Oryzias latipes: one gene and its partner. The protein of the gene in region 1 purifies or fractionates together with the protein of each later gene. This does not show direct contact. Links are inferred from orthologs where the notes say so. Each region holds a gene or a part of one and is shown on either strand. Other genes may lie near its edges.

The links.
Region 2: the proteins of hscb (region 1) and sdhaf1 purify together in Homo sapiens (co-immunoprecipitation; 3 studies listed by BioGRID and IntAct, with this or other methods). This does not show direct contact. The link is inferred for Oryzias latipes from reciprocal best matches to the Homo sapiens genes HSCB and SDHAF1.

What each region holds. Positions count from the first base shown.
Region 1 is NC_019867.2:2,424,933-2,433,351, forward strand, and holds the start of hscb (iron-sulfur cluster co-chaperone protein HscB, mitochondrial), read left to right. Parts: upstream 1-2,759; 5' UTR 2,760-2,868; coding exon 2,869-3,179; intron 3,180-4,220; coding exon 4,221-4,317; intron 4,318-8,419.
Region 2 is NC_019867.2:401,773-409,947, reverse strand, and holds sdhaf1 (succinate dehydrogenase assembly factor 1, mitochondrial), read right to left. Parts: upstream 4,653-8,175; 5' UTR 4,607-4,652; coding exon of another isoform or gene 4,588-4,606; 5' UTR 4,396-4,587; exon of another isoform or gene 4,048-4,395; intron 3,882-4,047; exon of another isoform or gene 3,707-3,881; intron 3,006-3,706; 5' UTR 2,878-3,005; coding exon 2,632-2,877; 3' UTR 2,473-2,631; downstream 1-2,472. Other genes in the region: 8-oxo-dGDP phosphatase NUDT18, read left to right, coding at 4,588-4,606, 4,931-5,100, 5,173-5,283, 5,355-5,457, 5,535-5,658, 5,735-5,859, 6,203-6,585.

The DNA of each region.
Region 1 (8,419 bases):
TGAAACACTAGTACATGACATTTCTCTCTTTTTTTATTTGAAGACAATGTGGGGTCAGGTGTCTTTCTTAAGGACAAAATGACTGTGTGGCCTGGGATTTGAACCCCAGACCAGCGAAGTGACACATTCCCATGACAAAAAAACCAAAAACAAAAACACAAACAGGAAATCCCTTTTTTTCCCATAACACGTGAACCAGATAGATTCAACGGGTCAAGGAAGGCAACGAACAACAAAATAAAAGGGAATCTGCAACATCATTTAAAAGAAAACTTTAAACTTTTCATTAATTTCTGCCTCAAGCTGAAAGCAATTTTAAAAACAGAATTTATATATGGCTTAAAAGTTACTTATTTAATATTTAAGCAGTTTTATACCATGTTCCAGGTCAATACGCGATTCTGATTGGCTGCAGGGTGTCAGATAATTAAGGGTTATTGGCCGATGAAATGTCCATAATTTTAAATTAATGGACGACACTGAGGTTCAAAGTCCATCTATAAAGTCTGTTAATTTCTGATAATGGACACTTCGAAGGCCATTTTCCCGCGCATGCCATGGTCACATCCAAAAGAAATAAAAATTAAATCAATTGTTAGTACTTTATTCCAGTTATTTTTCCGGTTTAAATAGCTTTTTAACAAAAAATTGACTATTTGTTGTGCGTTGTCATGGTATCAGCTGAGCGGGCATCGACCTCGACTGCGGCGGCAAAGGACAGCGTCATATTTGCTGGTCATGACGATGGGGTCAGTTCAGACAAAGTTCACCTCTTTGTCCAGATGATGAAGATGAAGTTTGTTTTGAAGAAGCCAGAGGAGAACATACACATACAGAACATTTACGCTATGTGACTGGAACTTATTTTTTTAGGTGTGCATGATCACTTTTTAATTCACGCCCAGCAGCCAATCAGAACCCAGCATTCACACGGACACATGGTATAACACAGTGGTTCTCAAACCTTTTCTCTTGTCCCCCCCTTTAGAAGAGGAAAAATGTTCATTTTTGCCAGACAGCCAACATCATTTAATGTTTGCAAATTTTCAAAAAAGTATAACTTACTGGGTTTAGAATTAAAAATTGTTTTAACTTGCGTGTTTGATGTGTGAAGTGTTACATGCACTTGCTCCTCCTTCTTTGTCTGACGAAGGGATAACACCATCCATTAGTCTTATTTTGATCAATTATTTTACTATAGTTGATTCTAAAAATGTTAAATAACTCAGAAAGTCTTTAAAACGGGAGTTATATGTTGTTATTTTTTTAATATCTAAAGAAAGAAAATTAACTCAAAATTAATTTAGAAAAATAGCTGAACACAAGACACGAATGAAATTAAAGCAAAATGGATATCGAGAAGTTTCCATACTCACAAGTCCAAAGCAGAACCATGCGATTCATCCTTTAGCTCAGTTGTTGTGCGAGTCAAATGCAGCACTTCAAACCAAGCTCTTGCTTTGTGCGCCTGCACCCCACCCAAACCGTCCGCTGGAGAAGCCCCTCTTCTAAAGATGATGTTCCGTTTTGGCTGGTTTCACCCAAACAACACAAGCGCAGAAGGAGCCACCTTGCTCCCCTGCTCTCTATTCTTAGCTATTTCCGTTAATAATACTCAGGGTATTGTCTGTGGGGGCCTTGAAAAACACCTCCCTCGACCTTCAGGAGGAGATCCTGTTTACCATACAGATGCTTCTGTCTCCAACCAGTGTCTCTCTGGAATAGTCTGTCGGCAACTTTTGACGACACACTACACACAATAAGGAATTCGGGTTTGGCATTTAGTACAGCTGGCACTTTGTTGGGAAACTGTAAAGTAAATGTGCTGCTCCACCACCAAACAGGAAGGTGATGAACAGTCTTCAGACACACCTACCAACATTTGTAGCGTTGATTTTTTTGGGATGATGATGTAGCGGCGCCAGGACCAGCAAGCATGGGTGTTATCTCCGCCTCAGCTCCTGATGAAGGCCCCAGCTGACCTTCCACTGTCTGTGCATCCAGTGCACTTCATGAAGGATGCCTGTTATCATGCTTGAGCAGCACAGCAGGAGACCTGAAATGGCACGAGGATGACATTGATCCTCCTGTGTTTTTTCCACTCAATATCATAAAAACATGCGGTGGGAAAGTTGACGTGATGAATTATTCACTTAAATGCAAACACTTAGGATGACAGGCTGTAAAACTACCTGATTTATATCGTTTTAATGAGTTTCTCATATTATTTTGGTGCACATGTAGCACGTCAAAAGAAAAACGAGCGACTTTTAAACTAAAAAGTTTAAAAAACACACACACAGATACGTGCCTTAAGGTATCTGGAATTAGCAGAAAAACACCCGCGCCTTTTTCTAAACACAACGCAAGTAAAAGTAGTTAAAATAATGTAAAAAGATTTTAGCAAAATAAGCTATCCTCTCACCAGAGATAATAAAGCTAACTCAGCTATATATATATCACCGGCTGTTTTCCTTCATTGGAAGTTTACACCCTAAACTAAATGTTACATTTCGTCCGACGCTGCGTTTTTCTGAGGCGTGAGAATTTGTAAGATATCCAACTTACTACATACGACGAGCCGGAAAACCTCCAATAATTCTTTGGATCCTAATATTTCTGAAAAAAATTTGGTTAGCTTTAGCTAGCTGCTTAGCTAGCGAGCTAATGTTTTTGAAGTTGCTTCGACACAAAGCCGCGGACAGTTGCGACCTCCGGCCGATAGGAGGCGCTGTGACGTAAGCAACCGTAGAAGAAGAAAACAACTTCCTCTGCTGTGTGGGATGGAGACGACCGTGTTTTGACCTGAACAATTGTAAATATCCACTGATTTTACCTAAAGAAATCAAAAAGATTATATAGCCAGGCATGTTTCTAAGGGTTGGACGATCGTCCGGGGCCGTACTGCGTTCTCGGTGCTTATTAACGGGTGGATTGTTGGTTCCCAAAGCAGCATGGACCAGAAATGTGACAGCTCTGGCAGTGGGAAGAAGAAGAAGAGGAGAACTTTTTTATTACCCCAATGAAGTCCGTTTTAGGAATTGCAGCACGAGTCAAGCTAAAACGAACTGCTGGAACTGTAAACAGCTTCTCGACAATGTCCCTGCATTCTTTTGCAACTCTTGCAAAACAATTCAACCCCCAGCAGAAGGAGAGTCCTATTTTAAGATCATGGACTGGTGAGTCTCTTGGTCTAATGAGGGGTCTGCAACCTTTGATGCCAAAAGAGCCATTTGGTCCACTTCCTCACTGACCAAAACCCCTCTTTATTCCTCAGACAAAACACACTTTAGTTATTGTGTTATATGGTTGATGCTATAAAGCATCCAGCCCATTGTTTTCCTGTTTCTCCTTCTTTATTATTGTATCTTCTGCCATTATTTGCCGCTTAACTTCTACAATTTTTCCGCTGTTTTACCCATTCAACTGTTAAAATGTTCAGCGTTGTCAGCCTTTTCCAGTTGTGACTTTTGATCCTTCAAATCCTTGGTATTTTCAAGATATTCCAGGATTTTTTCCTCCATTGAAATACATGGAGAATCGCTTGTTCCAGACCCGGTGCTTGCATTTTTCACAAAAATATATTTTTTGTTATTGTGCTGTTGTCACATTATTCAAGGTCAACTTTAATCATTTTTTAAAATTTTATTAATTTATTTTTTTGTCAATTATTATCCTTTAAGTTTCATTTTCATACAGTAATACAGCATTCAACCCGGAATTTTCTTCTCTGGAAATGCAGCTCCTGCTAGTTCTTTATAAAATGTAGTTTTAAACATTTACAATAATTCAATTATTGCAGTGTTTTAGTTTTTAATAGAACAAATACGATTTTATTTAATTAGATGACAGAGCATATAAGCTACTTTCAAAAAATAAAACACATAAATAAGTTTCTTCTGCTACTTGGATCATGATTATGACTTTGGTGCACAGTCCCCCTTTTTCTCCTTTAACCATTTATTCTACACAAGACAACATTAGTGTAGAATCCAACAGGTTTTTCTTTTTTACTTATATAAGGTCAGTATAGGAATGTACACATAAGTGAGAATACGTAAATGAAAAATAACGTTAACATCTTTCCTTAAAGCCAAAAGAGCCACAATAGAGGAATAAAAGAGCCACATGTGGCTGCAGAGCGTCAGGTTGCCGACCCCTCAAACGTTCTCAAACTGCTCCAGTCTGGTTGCGTCTCACCCTTTGTTGCCTCCTTGCAGTGACTACACTTTCACGGTGGACACACAGAAATTGCAGAGAAGATACCTGCAGCTCCAGCGGTTCCTCCACCCAGACAACTTCAGCCAGAGATCTGCGGTAGGCAGCAGATCAGCTGTTGGTTGTTGGTCTCTGCGTCCGAGCAGCCTCTCTCGTTGGTTTGGACACACCCTGTGTTGCAGGGAGTCTGTTCAATTGGCACAAGTTACTCTGGACAAACGACAAAAACAACTTTGTTTCTTAAATAAAAGTGTTAGTGCAGCTTATGGCATATGGCCGCTAGTCAGGATCTTTTCATTATTTTTAACATGTTCCTGTGGCATTTTCTCGATGATGAAGGACACAAATAACCCTAACCTGCTCCATTCCGATGCATCCTCCAACAGATCCATGAACGGCTTTGTTTTCCTGGTCTGAGCTGGAATCTGGATCAGAACTGTTCGGCCGGATAGCTTTGATATTGTCGCCATTTCTGTTGCTCTGGCAATGTTGGGTTGGAGGTGTGAGGGGCTGTAAGCTAGCAGGAGGGCGCGTAAACAGATGGATGATGGGAAGCCGGGTAGGGGTTGCTTAGCACCAACAGTCCCGCCCACAACTCACCAAACAAACCCCTTGTCGCTCTGCAGAAACTATGTCCTTGAAAACGAGAGCTTTTTTGTAAATTTTTGGTTAAAAACGGCATCATCACAATTATAAGACGACCCGTTTGAAAATAGATCATCAGATCTCTTTAAACAACATTAGTTTGGGGTTTTAAAAGGGGTTTTCTTACAACTCTCCAACAGCCGTCATGAATATCATGTGTACTCGTTTAAATTTGGTCTAAATAATTTGCAAACGATGTGTTTACTGATGAGAAAGTGTTGATGTGGACATTTTTAAATCGTACACAATGTCTGCTGGAATCAGTCAGTAAGTAAAGAAACTTGACTGGTTCAGGACTCGACAACAGGTCAATGAAGTGGACTTGTGGAAACACGGCAGAATTCTTTTAAAGGTGTCAGAAAAACAGAAGTAATTTATCTATTTAAAGAAAGTGAGGAACAAGTGCTGTGCTGTTGGACAAAGGATTTATTTTCTTCAGACTACATAAGTAATGGTTTGTTTTTGTAAAGTGATTTTTTTTCAGACAGCTGCAGTGTGATGCAGTGGTTAGCATTCAGAGCGAGGACTCGGGTCTTTTGTGGGCGGAGTTTGCATGTTCTTCTTGTTCTTGTGTGAGTTTCTTCCGCTTTCCTCCTGCAGTCCAAAAACATGCGTGATAGGTTTATTGGCGATTTCAAATTCTCCCTCGGAGTGATTGTGTTTGTTTGGGATAGGCTCCAGCATCCTTATGGCACTAAAAGGTTTGGAAAATGTGGAGTTTGTCCTCACAGAGAAATGTAAAATTGATTGTGTTAACAAAACCTTTGCAGGACTTACATTAAATTCTTAATGTCCCAAAGATTATCGTCAGATAATCTTTGGGACATTTTTTGTCACAGTTCTTGGTGTTTGATGGTGCCTTGTGTCAATTATTGTCTGATTGCTTTCAGCAATCAGAGTATGTTGTTGTAATTCTCTATTATATTTCATTAATATTATCAACATATTTTATTCCATCAATTCTTTTGATCTCTTCTTCTCCTGCAATTGTAAAGATACTTAAACTATTTCAGTTGGAGCTGGTAAAGCTCCAATGGGAGCAGAGTGCTATTACTTTTGGTACAAATCGGTTGTAAGGTTTATGATATATTTATATTTTAATGGAATTTTGCTCAAATAGAAAATGAATAGGGCCAACATTTCAAGTGTAATATCTCGAAAAGCGCAGAGACTATAGGAATGTAACTTAGTGAGCAATAAGGAGAAAGTGCGCTTTAATAAAGCCAGCTCGATTGCGCCTCCATGTGGTCCGTTGTGGTACAAAACGCGTTTATGCTTAAATTGCCAACATAGTAAGTAAAATTCAAAACATTCTTTTTGCTTCTTATTCCTTGGATAGAAATGTTTTTTGAAAATAGACCTAACTATATTTTTCGTAATTTACGATTTTTCGTATAAAAGACGTTTTTGGCTCCCTATTCAATATATTCTCAACAGTCTTTACAATTTTCTCTGCATAACCCATTTGGATCTCCCCGGATCCAATGGTATCAATCATTTTTGTGCAATTCTTTATTGTTTTTGTAGAAAGTGTAGTGCTAATGAGTGGGTGTTCTCTTATTTGAAATGCTCAAATCATTATCAGATACACCAAATTTGAAATAGGGCTTCCTCTTACAGTGATTAATCACAATCAGAAGAATGGGGAAAATATTCCTATAAATTATTCAATTCAATTCAATTTTATTTGTATAGCCCAAAATCACAACAACAGACGTCTCGATGGGCTTCGAAGTAAAACATGAAATCAAAAGGATCATGAATACAAAGAGTTCAATAGAAAAATACTAAAATGAACTAACAAACTGACTAAGCTATACTGGCATCCCTGCCCTTAGACCCCCCTTCGCGGTAAGGAAAAACTCCCAAAAAAACCGGATTCCGGAAAAAACGAAGAAACCTCAGGGGTGCCCACACGAAGGAGGGATCCTCCCCCAGGACGGACAGGCTATTTACCAGAACAACAAGAAATTATGCTATTGTGTTTACACCTATAGTTCAACAACTACTTCCCCTAAACAAAAAATAATTGACAAGTATGTTGGATGAGAGGTCTAGTAAAATATACTAGAAAACTAGCTTTTAAGCGCCACCTGGTGGTGACTATCAGAGGATTTTCTAGCTATGGATAATCCATTGTATCTCTTAAACAGATGCTGATAACAACAGACAACTACTGATAGTTTGCAAAGCTCATTGGGTAGATCTTTGGTTTAAGGCCATTTAGTGCCATTAGCTATTATGGCTTATTGTATACATTTTGTTTTTAGGAAATGAACAACAGTCAAATTTGAAGACTTTTATCTAAAAAAATAAAAACAATACCCAAGGGTACCAAACTTAATGAGCAATTACTCCAGACCAATCTATCCATGCCTTGTCAATTCTGGCTCTGTTGCGCCACCTGGTGGTTTGGGCCTTAATCTCCCAGAGCAATAGGGATAGGAATGAGCTTTTATTCCCCTGTGATTCATTGGATAGTAGAAAAAATGTGCAGACATGGATCTGCCATCTCTACCTAACTAGATTTTTTGCAAAATACATCTTTAAGTTCCCATGCCATATACTTTTACAGACCTTTGCATATTTCTACACATACCCTATTTGGACTACCGTAAAGCCAATGGTACCACCCATTTGGCATAATTTCTTACCGTTTCTGTAGAACACGTCATGCAAATTAGACAAGAGTGGATTTCAAATTTGAGAAACTTCTTTCTCAATTTCAGATAAGTTAGCGCAACAACGTCCATAACACTACTCTCCTATAGGCAGGGCTACAATCTATTCCAATACGTTTCCCCTCATATTTCCAAAATGATAGGCCTACTATAGTGACACTTGACGTGCAGGTTGGACGGAAGGTCTTTAATAGCAACAGCTTATAAAGTGTTAAAAACAGCACTGCCGTCTGCAATCGGACACATTTTTTTCAAGGAATTGCAAATCTAGTTGAAGTTTGGTTCGACCTCGGTTGAAGCTTTCAGGCTTTTTTAGCTTAAAAACAGGAAATGCTGGTGTCCCAAAGTGGTGCTGCTATTTTTGAAATGCAAATACAAATGGGTGTCAGAGTGTGGCGTGTGCATCGCCTCCACGCCATCCATCACATGCAGGCCGGGCTCGTGAACGCCATGCCGTCGGGTTTGAGTGAGCGGTTCGGTCCACACCTTAATGAGAAGGCAGCGGTGATGACGTCAGCTGTCAGTGTTGTCACAAAAAGGTGCCTGTTCAACTATTTTCGGGAGGGACACACGACAGCAAACAGTTTGATAGTTATGCTGTGTGAGAAAGCCCTACTGGTCAAGGCGGAAGAGCAGCATAAAACGCAGAATGTTTTTTTCTTATTTTATTTTTTTAGGAGATTTTAGGCCAGTATAGCTCATCTTATTGATTATGACAGTAGAACGTTTTGTTTTAAAAACTTGAGTTTGTGTTGGATCGACCTTAAACTTCAACACTTTCAAAGAAAACTCCCAGTGTTTGAAAAAAGCCTTTTTTTCTTCTTTCATTTAAATGTAAAGTTAATGTTATGAAAGCTAATTCTTTCTTCTTTAGA
Region 2 (8,175 bases), about 2.0 Mb from region 1:
TTCTGCTGCTCCGTCTGTTCTAAAGATGGACAGATTCACGTTTTTCCTGCTTTTTGTTGGATGTTCTTGGAGCTGAACGTCCAGGAGCTTCAGTCCAGAACCAGAACCAGGACCTGGACCGGAACTGACCGACCCGAGTCCAGACCTGCTGTCTGGCTGACAGGAAACTCTGCTCACCATAGTGGATGATTTTAGCCAGTTCCTTAAGCGCAGAAGTAACGCGTTATATTTAGTCACGTGACTGATGTCATCGTTAACAACTGCATCGTTACCTGAACGTGAAATGATTTTACCGGAAGTGTCCATTTCTATTCCCACACCTGGATCACGAGCCTCTGCTCGGTTCGTCCCGAACCCGATCAGAACCTTTAGCAATGAATTCGGTTCGTTAGTGTCCCGGGTCCGCTGTGACCCGTCCGTTCGTTTTCCTTACCTGCTGAAAAAACTCCGCGCTGTTCATGACCGCAGACACACGTTTACCGCCAAACACGGCTCGACCCTGGCGTCCACGGGTCAGTTTTACTCGTTTTTCTAACACAAACTACTTCCTGTTTACTTCCGCCTCCGTGTGGAGCAGAGAGCGCACAGCGCCCCCAGCGGCAGTTACTGGGACTGACTGCAGTCTGCGACGCTGCTGACGAGTTCGAGGCTTTTGGTACGTGATAGTTTTATTGTTTATGACGGCCTCCAGGCTTCCGTGTGTCCAATGAAAGACGGTTTCGAGCAGAGACCAGAACACCTGAGGTTCACAGAGAACCAACCTGCAGACCAGAGTTCAGCAGGGCGGTGCTGTGGGGGCAGGGGTTCTCCTGAGCCGAAGAACCATGAGATGAGAAGCAGAACATTGGACCTTTGACAAAGAAACCTGATGGTTTTTTAATACGGTTCTGGAAGTAATGACAATCACTACATTCCAGAATCTTTAACAGCTGTTTCTAAACTCCCCATCCATCATCTGGGGTTCGGTCATGGGGGCAGCAGTCTAAGCTCCCCTCCAGCTCCTCTGGGGACCCCGAGGCATTCTCAGGCCAGCCGAGAGATGGAATCTCCACATGGAGTCCTGGGTCTTCCGCAGGCCTCCTCCAGGTGGGACATGCCCCGAACACCTCCCCAGGGAGGCGTCCACACGCTGAGCCACATCAATGACCTCCTCTCCCTGTGGAGGAGCAGCAGCACACTGAGTAGGGATGGGTATCGTTAAGGTTTTAACGATACTACTACTCTTATCGATACTGCTTATCGATCCGGTACTCTTATCGATACTTTTTGAGGACGAAAATAAATAAATAAATAAATAGCAAATTAAGAACATAAAGTGTTTTATTTCCTCACTATGCAACAGCATTGTTTTTTTAACAAAACATTTTACTTTATACATGAGAATGTTCCAGACAGGATATTTATTTAATTATTTAATCTAATTGTTTTTATTATTTATGAGTGTGATGTTTCATTTGATCTTTTGTCCATTTTCCACAACCTTGAATATAGACGTTTCTGTCTGTCAAACACCAGAGTTAAGTTAAGTTAAATGATGGAAACAAATTCACTTTGATGCAGACTCCTTTCTATTTTGCCAACTCCATTTATTTTTCTTTAAATCCAGTAAACCCAATAAATGATATTAATTTTACGGATGACAACTATCATTAGTTATTAATTATTATTAAGTATTAGGAAGCAGCTGATAGTTTGTCGCGGGTCTGGAATCATAAGCGGTGAGTCTAAGCCCCGCCTCTCTACCTGTTTGTTGTAAACTCCGCGTGCAACGCCCCCCCACCCCCCCTCCCGCTGCCCCAGCCTGTTCTGCACAAACAGCGCAACATACGGTCATCGTAGCAGCAAGGTGACAGCATGGTAGGCAAACTTAATAATTTTACGCAGAAACGTTAGTTCTTAGTCTAGGGCGCTCACGTGTCCCCTACAAGATCGCCACTGACTGTGTGTGCGCTGCCTTGTCTTGTGTGTGTGCGCGCGTGGCGCGTGCTGTCTGAACAACAGCCCCCCCCCCCCCCCCCCCTGCACACAAATAGACAGACAGAGCTCTCCGCTTCAACGAGAATACCGAAATTAATATCATCATTAATTAACGGAAAATTGACTGACTTGGTGAGTTAAATATGGCAGATAACGCTTACATTTTGTGGGACACAAAAAAGAAAAAAGAAAAAGTAACTTCTCCAGTACCGATAGCAGAACCGTTCAGGTCAGATCTAACGATACTGCCGTCTTGAAGAATGTGGCCCCGGGGCTGGTTCAATACCGGGGCACGGTACCCATCCCTACCTAACACTGAGCTCCTCCTCCTTTATCTAAGGCAGCGCCGCCCGTTTGTTTGTGTAAAAGACAAAATAGATCTTAAAAATAACCTTTGTCAGAAAGTTGTTAAATATATTAATTTTTTAACACATTTGAAGCCAGTTAAATGTTTCTTTGTGTTTGATCCGTTGGTTCTACATACATCACACTAAATGCAGCAGAAACTGGTTTTTATTTGTTGAAGCACATCTTGGTTTCTCCTACAGAAAACTTCTTGACAGGGATTCTGCCCGCGCCTCGTCCGCCCGCGCCTCCTCTCCTGTAAATGACCTTTCGCTCACGTCTGTCTGTGACTCTGAAGGCAGCCGGACTTCAGCCGGACCCTTTGGGTTTGGAGAAGGAGCCCAGCTGCTTGGTGTTGGCGTCCCGAAGCTGCTCCAGCTGCCTCTGGCCTCGCCGGAACAGGTACTCGATGTGCATCACGTCCGTCTTCTTGATGCGGGCGTTCTCCCTGAACTCGTCACGGATCCGTGGGATGAAGCCGGGCTTGTTCTGAGCGGCTCGCAGAAACTGTCGGTACAGAACCAGGACCTGCTGCTGCAGCTTGCTGTGCCGCATCGTGGCTGAAGAACCGACCTGTAGGTCACTACCAGCACCTGTGAGCAGAGCGCCTGCAGGTCCACCACAGAGGAGCTGCTTCTGTCTGCAGGTGAAGCATCACGGCCCCCCAGGCACACTGCAGCCTCCTGCACACAGAAACAACAAAACATCATTTTAGGCTCAGGCCTGAGGACAGAACACACGAGCTGGATCTGAAGGAGGTTCTGGAAAGCGTTTGATGACAAACACCGGCGAGCGTGAGGTCCGTGTCTCTGGAGAGCTGAGACCCTCTGCAGCATCAACATGGGGGGCAAGCAGCTTTGCCATGGGGGGGGCAAGGGCGTGGTCTCAGTTTAGGAAATACTGCCAAACAGTTTTGGTGCTAAACTACAGCCACCCGCTTGTAAAGTGACAGTTATTGTTTACTTTAGCAGGTTTTATCTTTCAAATCCATATTTTCACCTTTTAATTACTTAACTAAATGTTTAATTATAAAAGAAAATACTTTAACTATTTAGCTTGCAAACTAAAAAAGTAGTTAGTAAATAAAACATTAAAAAATAGATTGTATCAAAATGTGAAAACCTGCATTTAAAATGAAACCTGCTAAATATCCAAAAATATTTCAGTTAAAATGTAACTGTAACTTTACAAACAGCCCCCCCCCCTACGTAACAAACCAAAGGGGCATAAAAAAGTCAAAACATGAGCAGAAAGAGACAAAATGAAGACAAATAAACAGACATGAAGCTGCAGAACATCAGGATGGACGGAACCCGCCTCTTCTGACCAGAACCCCCCAGCTGCTGAAAACTGCCTAGAGGTCAGAACAAGAAGTTAAACTCACGAGTCCAGCTTCAACCCCCCCTACAGAAACGGAGGGTTTCTGCCCGGTTAGTCCCAACCGGTAAATCACTGCAGACACACGGTTTCAGCGCTTACAGCCTTCGACTGACCTTTCAGCGTTATAACACGCGGAAGCGGAAAATGAAAACAGGAAGCTGAGAAACTGTTCATCCACAGATTTCACAATAAAGGCCGTTTAGTCACGAAAAATCCCACTACACTAATAAAAAGATGTAAACGACTTAAATTCAAATTTCAAAATATATTTAAACGTAGTATAGTCTGTAAAAACGTAAAATAACTGAGAAAATGTTGCAATTTTAAAAAGTCTAAGATGAAGCTTGAAACTCCAACCGGAAGTTAAAGACGGTGCACTTCCTGGTTTGTTTGCCGTTGACAAGTGTGAAGAGTTGCGGAGACCAAGCAGAAAAAGGTTCGCTTTTTAATAAAAATAAAAAAAAGATGGCGCTTATGATAAATTCATTTGCGAGATTCCCAGTTTTGCGCTAAACAGAGAGAAGAACTCAAATAGTTTGCGTCCCGTTAGCTGTTATGCTAGCTAGCAGCTACTGCAGAGAGCTCAGTACTGAAGTACCGACGTACAGCGAGTTGCTGGAGGTTCTGCTGAGTTCATCCAGGTAACAAAAGAGAACCTCAGCGTTTCACAGGAGAAGATCTAGTGAGTCTCACCTCAGGCAGACCTGGACTAGTTTGAACCACGATGGGGTTCTTCAGAGGACAGAACTGACTGCAGGAGCGTCCTGGTCCTGGTCCCGAAGCTTCCGTTTGGATCCGGTTCGTGACTCCGGTCCACAGACGCTCAAAGCTGCACGTGCCGTTTCAACAGGTGGCCACAACCAGATTCCTCTTCAATAGAGTTTTATGAAACAGAGGCAGACTGGTGAGCCCCCCACCCCCCACGTCATCATCACACCTGTCAGAACCCCAAAGTACACAAATAAACGGAGGCAGAACCAATTGGAACCAAAACTTTAGGCTGAGAAAAGCCCAGCAGTGGATGAAGGTCTGAAGGGGCCTCTGCTGATCAGTGGAACTCCAGGCCTCCTCTCTGTGACACAGGAGGGTCCGGTTCACATGGAGGGTCTCTCTGGGTTCAGGTTCTGGTTCTGCTGGGACTCCTCACTTAAGCTTGAACATGAAGCAGCATCACACGGATTGTGCTGGACGTGAACTAGGACCCATTTTTTCCCCCGTGTCTAGGCAGACATTGAGATGACATCAGAGCGGCAGCTGGTGGAGGAGCAGGTGGAGCGGCTGCTGAGTGGCCAGGGGTCAGAGGTCAGCCTCTGTGATGTCGGCATGGAGCAGAGCAAGCCGGCGGCGCTGAGGAAGAACATTACCTACATCGTCTGCGCCGTCATCTTCAATGAGAAGGCAAGCCCAGCACGCCATGAGAGCGGCGGCCGCTCCTCCTCATGTTGAAGCCTGTTCGTGTGGCTCCTTTAGGAGGAGGTGCTGATGGTGCAGGAGGCCAAACAGGACTGCTACAAGCAGTGGTACCTTCCTGCAGGGAGGGTGGAGGTGGGGGAGAGCCTGGAGGAGGCGCTCAGGAGGGAGGTGAGGCATGCAGGAGTCATGTTTTTTTCTCCACCCACTTCCTGGCTTACCTGTTCTGTGGCTGTCTGCAGGTGAAGGAGGAGGCGGGGTTTGACTGTGAGCCAATCACCATGCTGCTCATCCAGGAGCAAGGGCCACAATGGATCCGCTTCATCTTCCTCGCCAGGATCTCAGGTGGTGTCAGAGCGACCCGGGGTGCTCTTTGGGGGGGGGGGGGGAACCTCAGTGAACCTGGGTCTCCTCTTCTCCAGGTGGTAGTTTGAAGAGTCTGGCAGCAGCAGATCAGGAGTCTCTGCAGGCCGCCTGGTGGGACAGACAGTCCCCCCTCCCCCTCAGAGGACGAGACATCCTCCGCCTCATCGAAAACGGGCTCAAGTAAACACCAAACGTTCACCGAACATCACATCTGTGGAGGTTTTCCCGCTGTCTAGACTGACGGTGCTGCCTTCAGGTACCGCAGGAATCCCTGGCATCCTGTCACTCTGCCAGTTGACCTGAGTTGTCGTCACGTGGTGCAGAGGATGGTCCTGGTCTTTGTTGGTGCCGAAGATCAGATCTGGATCCTATTGGTCCGAGGTACAACCCCCAACACACAGTCTGATGTCGGTCCCGAAGCATGATGGGAAAATGGTTCCAACCCTCCTCCCTTACAAACACTTACATACGCCGTCTGTGTGAGGCGTAGAGCTGACCTCCTGTTCCCTGACCGGGTCATGAAGCGCCTGGTTCCTCCTGAATCAGAGTCTAACACCGACCACTCTCTCCTCCACCAGGGAGGAGTAGTTTGGCTCCTCCCCCTCCCTGGTGGAGGAGGAGCAAAGCTTCCCGTGCATTTTTCTGACGGTTTTCTTATTTTCCTTTTTCAGCAGGATGACTGCTTTTATTTTGAAAATCTTGTTGACCTCCTCCTGACCTGCAGGCCCGACGCCCCATCTCCCCACCGCCGCGGCGGTGAAAACCCATGCGGTGACGTGGGCGGCCAACATGGTGGTGCAGGAGGCCCTGCCGTCGTCCTACTACGACCACGACGTCGCCACGCTGGGCGTCTGCGGCCTGCAGCACAACGGGCGGCAGCACGGGCGCACGGACGGTGTCTGCCTCAACACGCTGGTGGCGCTCGTGCCCGATCGCGTGCAACGTGACGAGGACGGACTGAAGGTGGAGCTCCCGCCTACGGGGAGGCCCCCACCCATAGAGAACCCCCGATACGTCTGGTTTGAGGTTCAGAATCTGGATCTCAGAGAGAAACTTCTGGAAAAAACCAGAAACACGTCCGTGCTGCCGATTCACAGCCTGTACTGAGCGCGCTCAGTGACAGCAAGCGGACTTTCAGGGTGACCTCACGACCTCAGCGTCTCAGATGGAGGGAAAGTATTTGCCCCCTGAGGGGTATTATCATGTTGCGTCAGTGTTTCCTGCAGTTGTCAATGTGAATGTGTGACTGTGAAGCTTTCAGAGCAGAATCGTTCTCCTCCCAGGAAGGTCCGTTTGTGGCTCATCCAGATGTTCCTCTGGGTTCTTGTTCCTCAGCCGTGTCTTTTTCCTTCATGGATCCGCGTTTGTTCTTCTGACTGTTGGATCGGGAACCATCTTCTACTGCTTTCAGGATGAGATCTCTTTGTGGAGCCGTTTTGATTGATGGTTCCACCGAAGGTTCTCTGATGGATCTCTGAAGTTCTAAAGCTGCAGGAACGTCCGTGTGACTCCTGGAAACGTGTCAGAGGCCGTGGGAGAACCTGAAGATGTTCAGAACATCCAGACTTCAGGAGACACCGTTTCAGATCAACATCTGTTCCTTCAGCTGCTGATGAACACAGAAGCTTCAATGTGTGATGAAGAAATCGTTTCTCAGGGAGGGGGGCAAAGACTTTCATTGAGGGGTTTTTGAGTGCAGATCGTGGGGTTAAAGGTCGTGTTTAAATGAACTTTTCTCTAGGAAATGAGACAAACGTTTGGACTGAAATGTGTCTGAATGATGTGTGACGGCATTGATGCACTTTAACGGCGTTCTGTTCCAGAGAAAAGCAGTTTATGGGATCAACTGGACATATAAATATATAAAAACAAAGAATCCACAGAACTCTTCACACTAGTTTATTCCAACCTGAACTTGTTCTAACGTTCCAACACTGTTCCTGAAAGAAGTTTCAAAGGTTCTAGAGATTCAAGTCTAACGGAAAAACCCAAATGTGGCCTAAAATTCGCGGCGCTAACGTGTAACCCTTGTTCTATCCTAGGCACTTTACCGTTGGGAGTGGGGTCATCTAGACCCACTAGACAGTGCTCTGAACCTTTTCTCTTCAATGATTTGTGATCTTCACTGGTGTCCATGGATTACATGAAATCTTTCCACCTTTATCCACCTTTGTCATGGTAGGGAGAACACGTCAATGGAAGGGGGGGGTCATCTACGATAGCACAAGGGTTAAGGCGGATATTTTGATGCCGTTATAGTGACAGAAGTTTTTCAGCTTCAGCTGCTGCTCTGCGTTACGTTTTTGAGAACGTTTGGGTTTCACCTGAAGCTGAAGCCCAAAGTTGTCCTGCAGCAGCTTCAGTGGATGCAGGACCAGGCGGGTTCTGACTTCCAGCAGCAAAACAGTCCGAACGTTTTGACGCAAATGTTCTCAATCTGACCTAGATGAGTGTTTCTGAAAGAGTCCGGGTTTCTGGGTTCAGGACTTCTCTGGGTTCTGTGTGAGAATCTACAGATGGGTTTCATCACAGAACATCAACCGTCACTGAACGCAGTTTATATCTGTATGAGAACGTCTGGATGTGAGCAGAAGAACGTCTGGATGTGGGCAGCAGAACGTCTGGATGTGAGCAGCAGAACGTCTGGATGTGAGCAGAAGAACGTCTGGATGTGAGCAGAAGAACGTCTGGATGTGA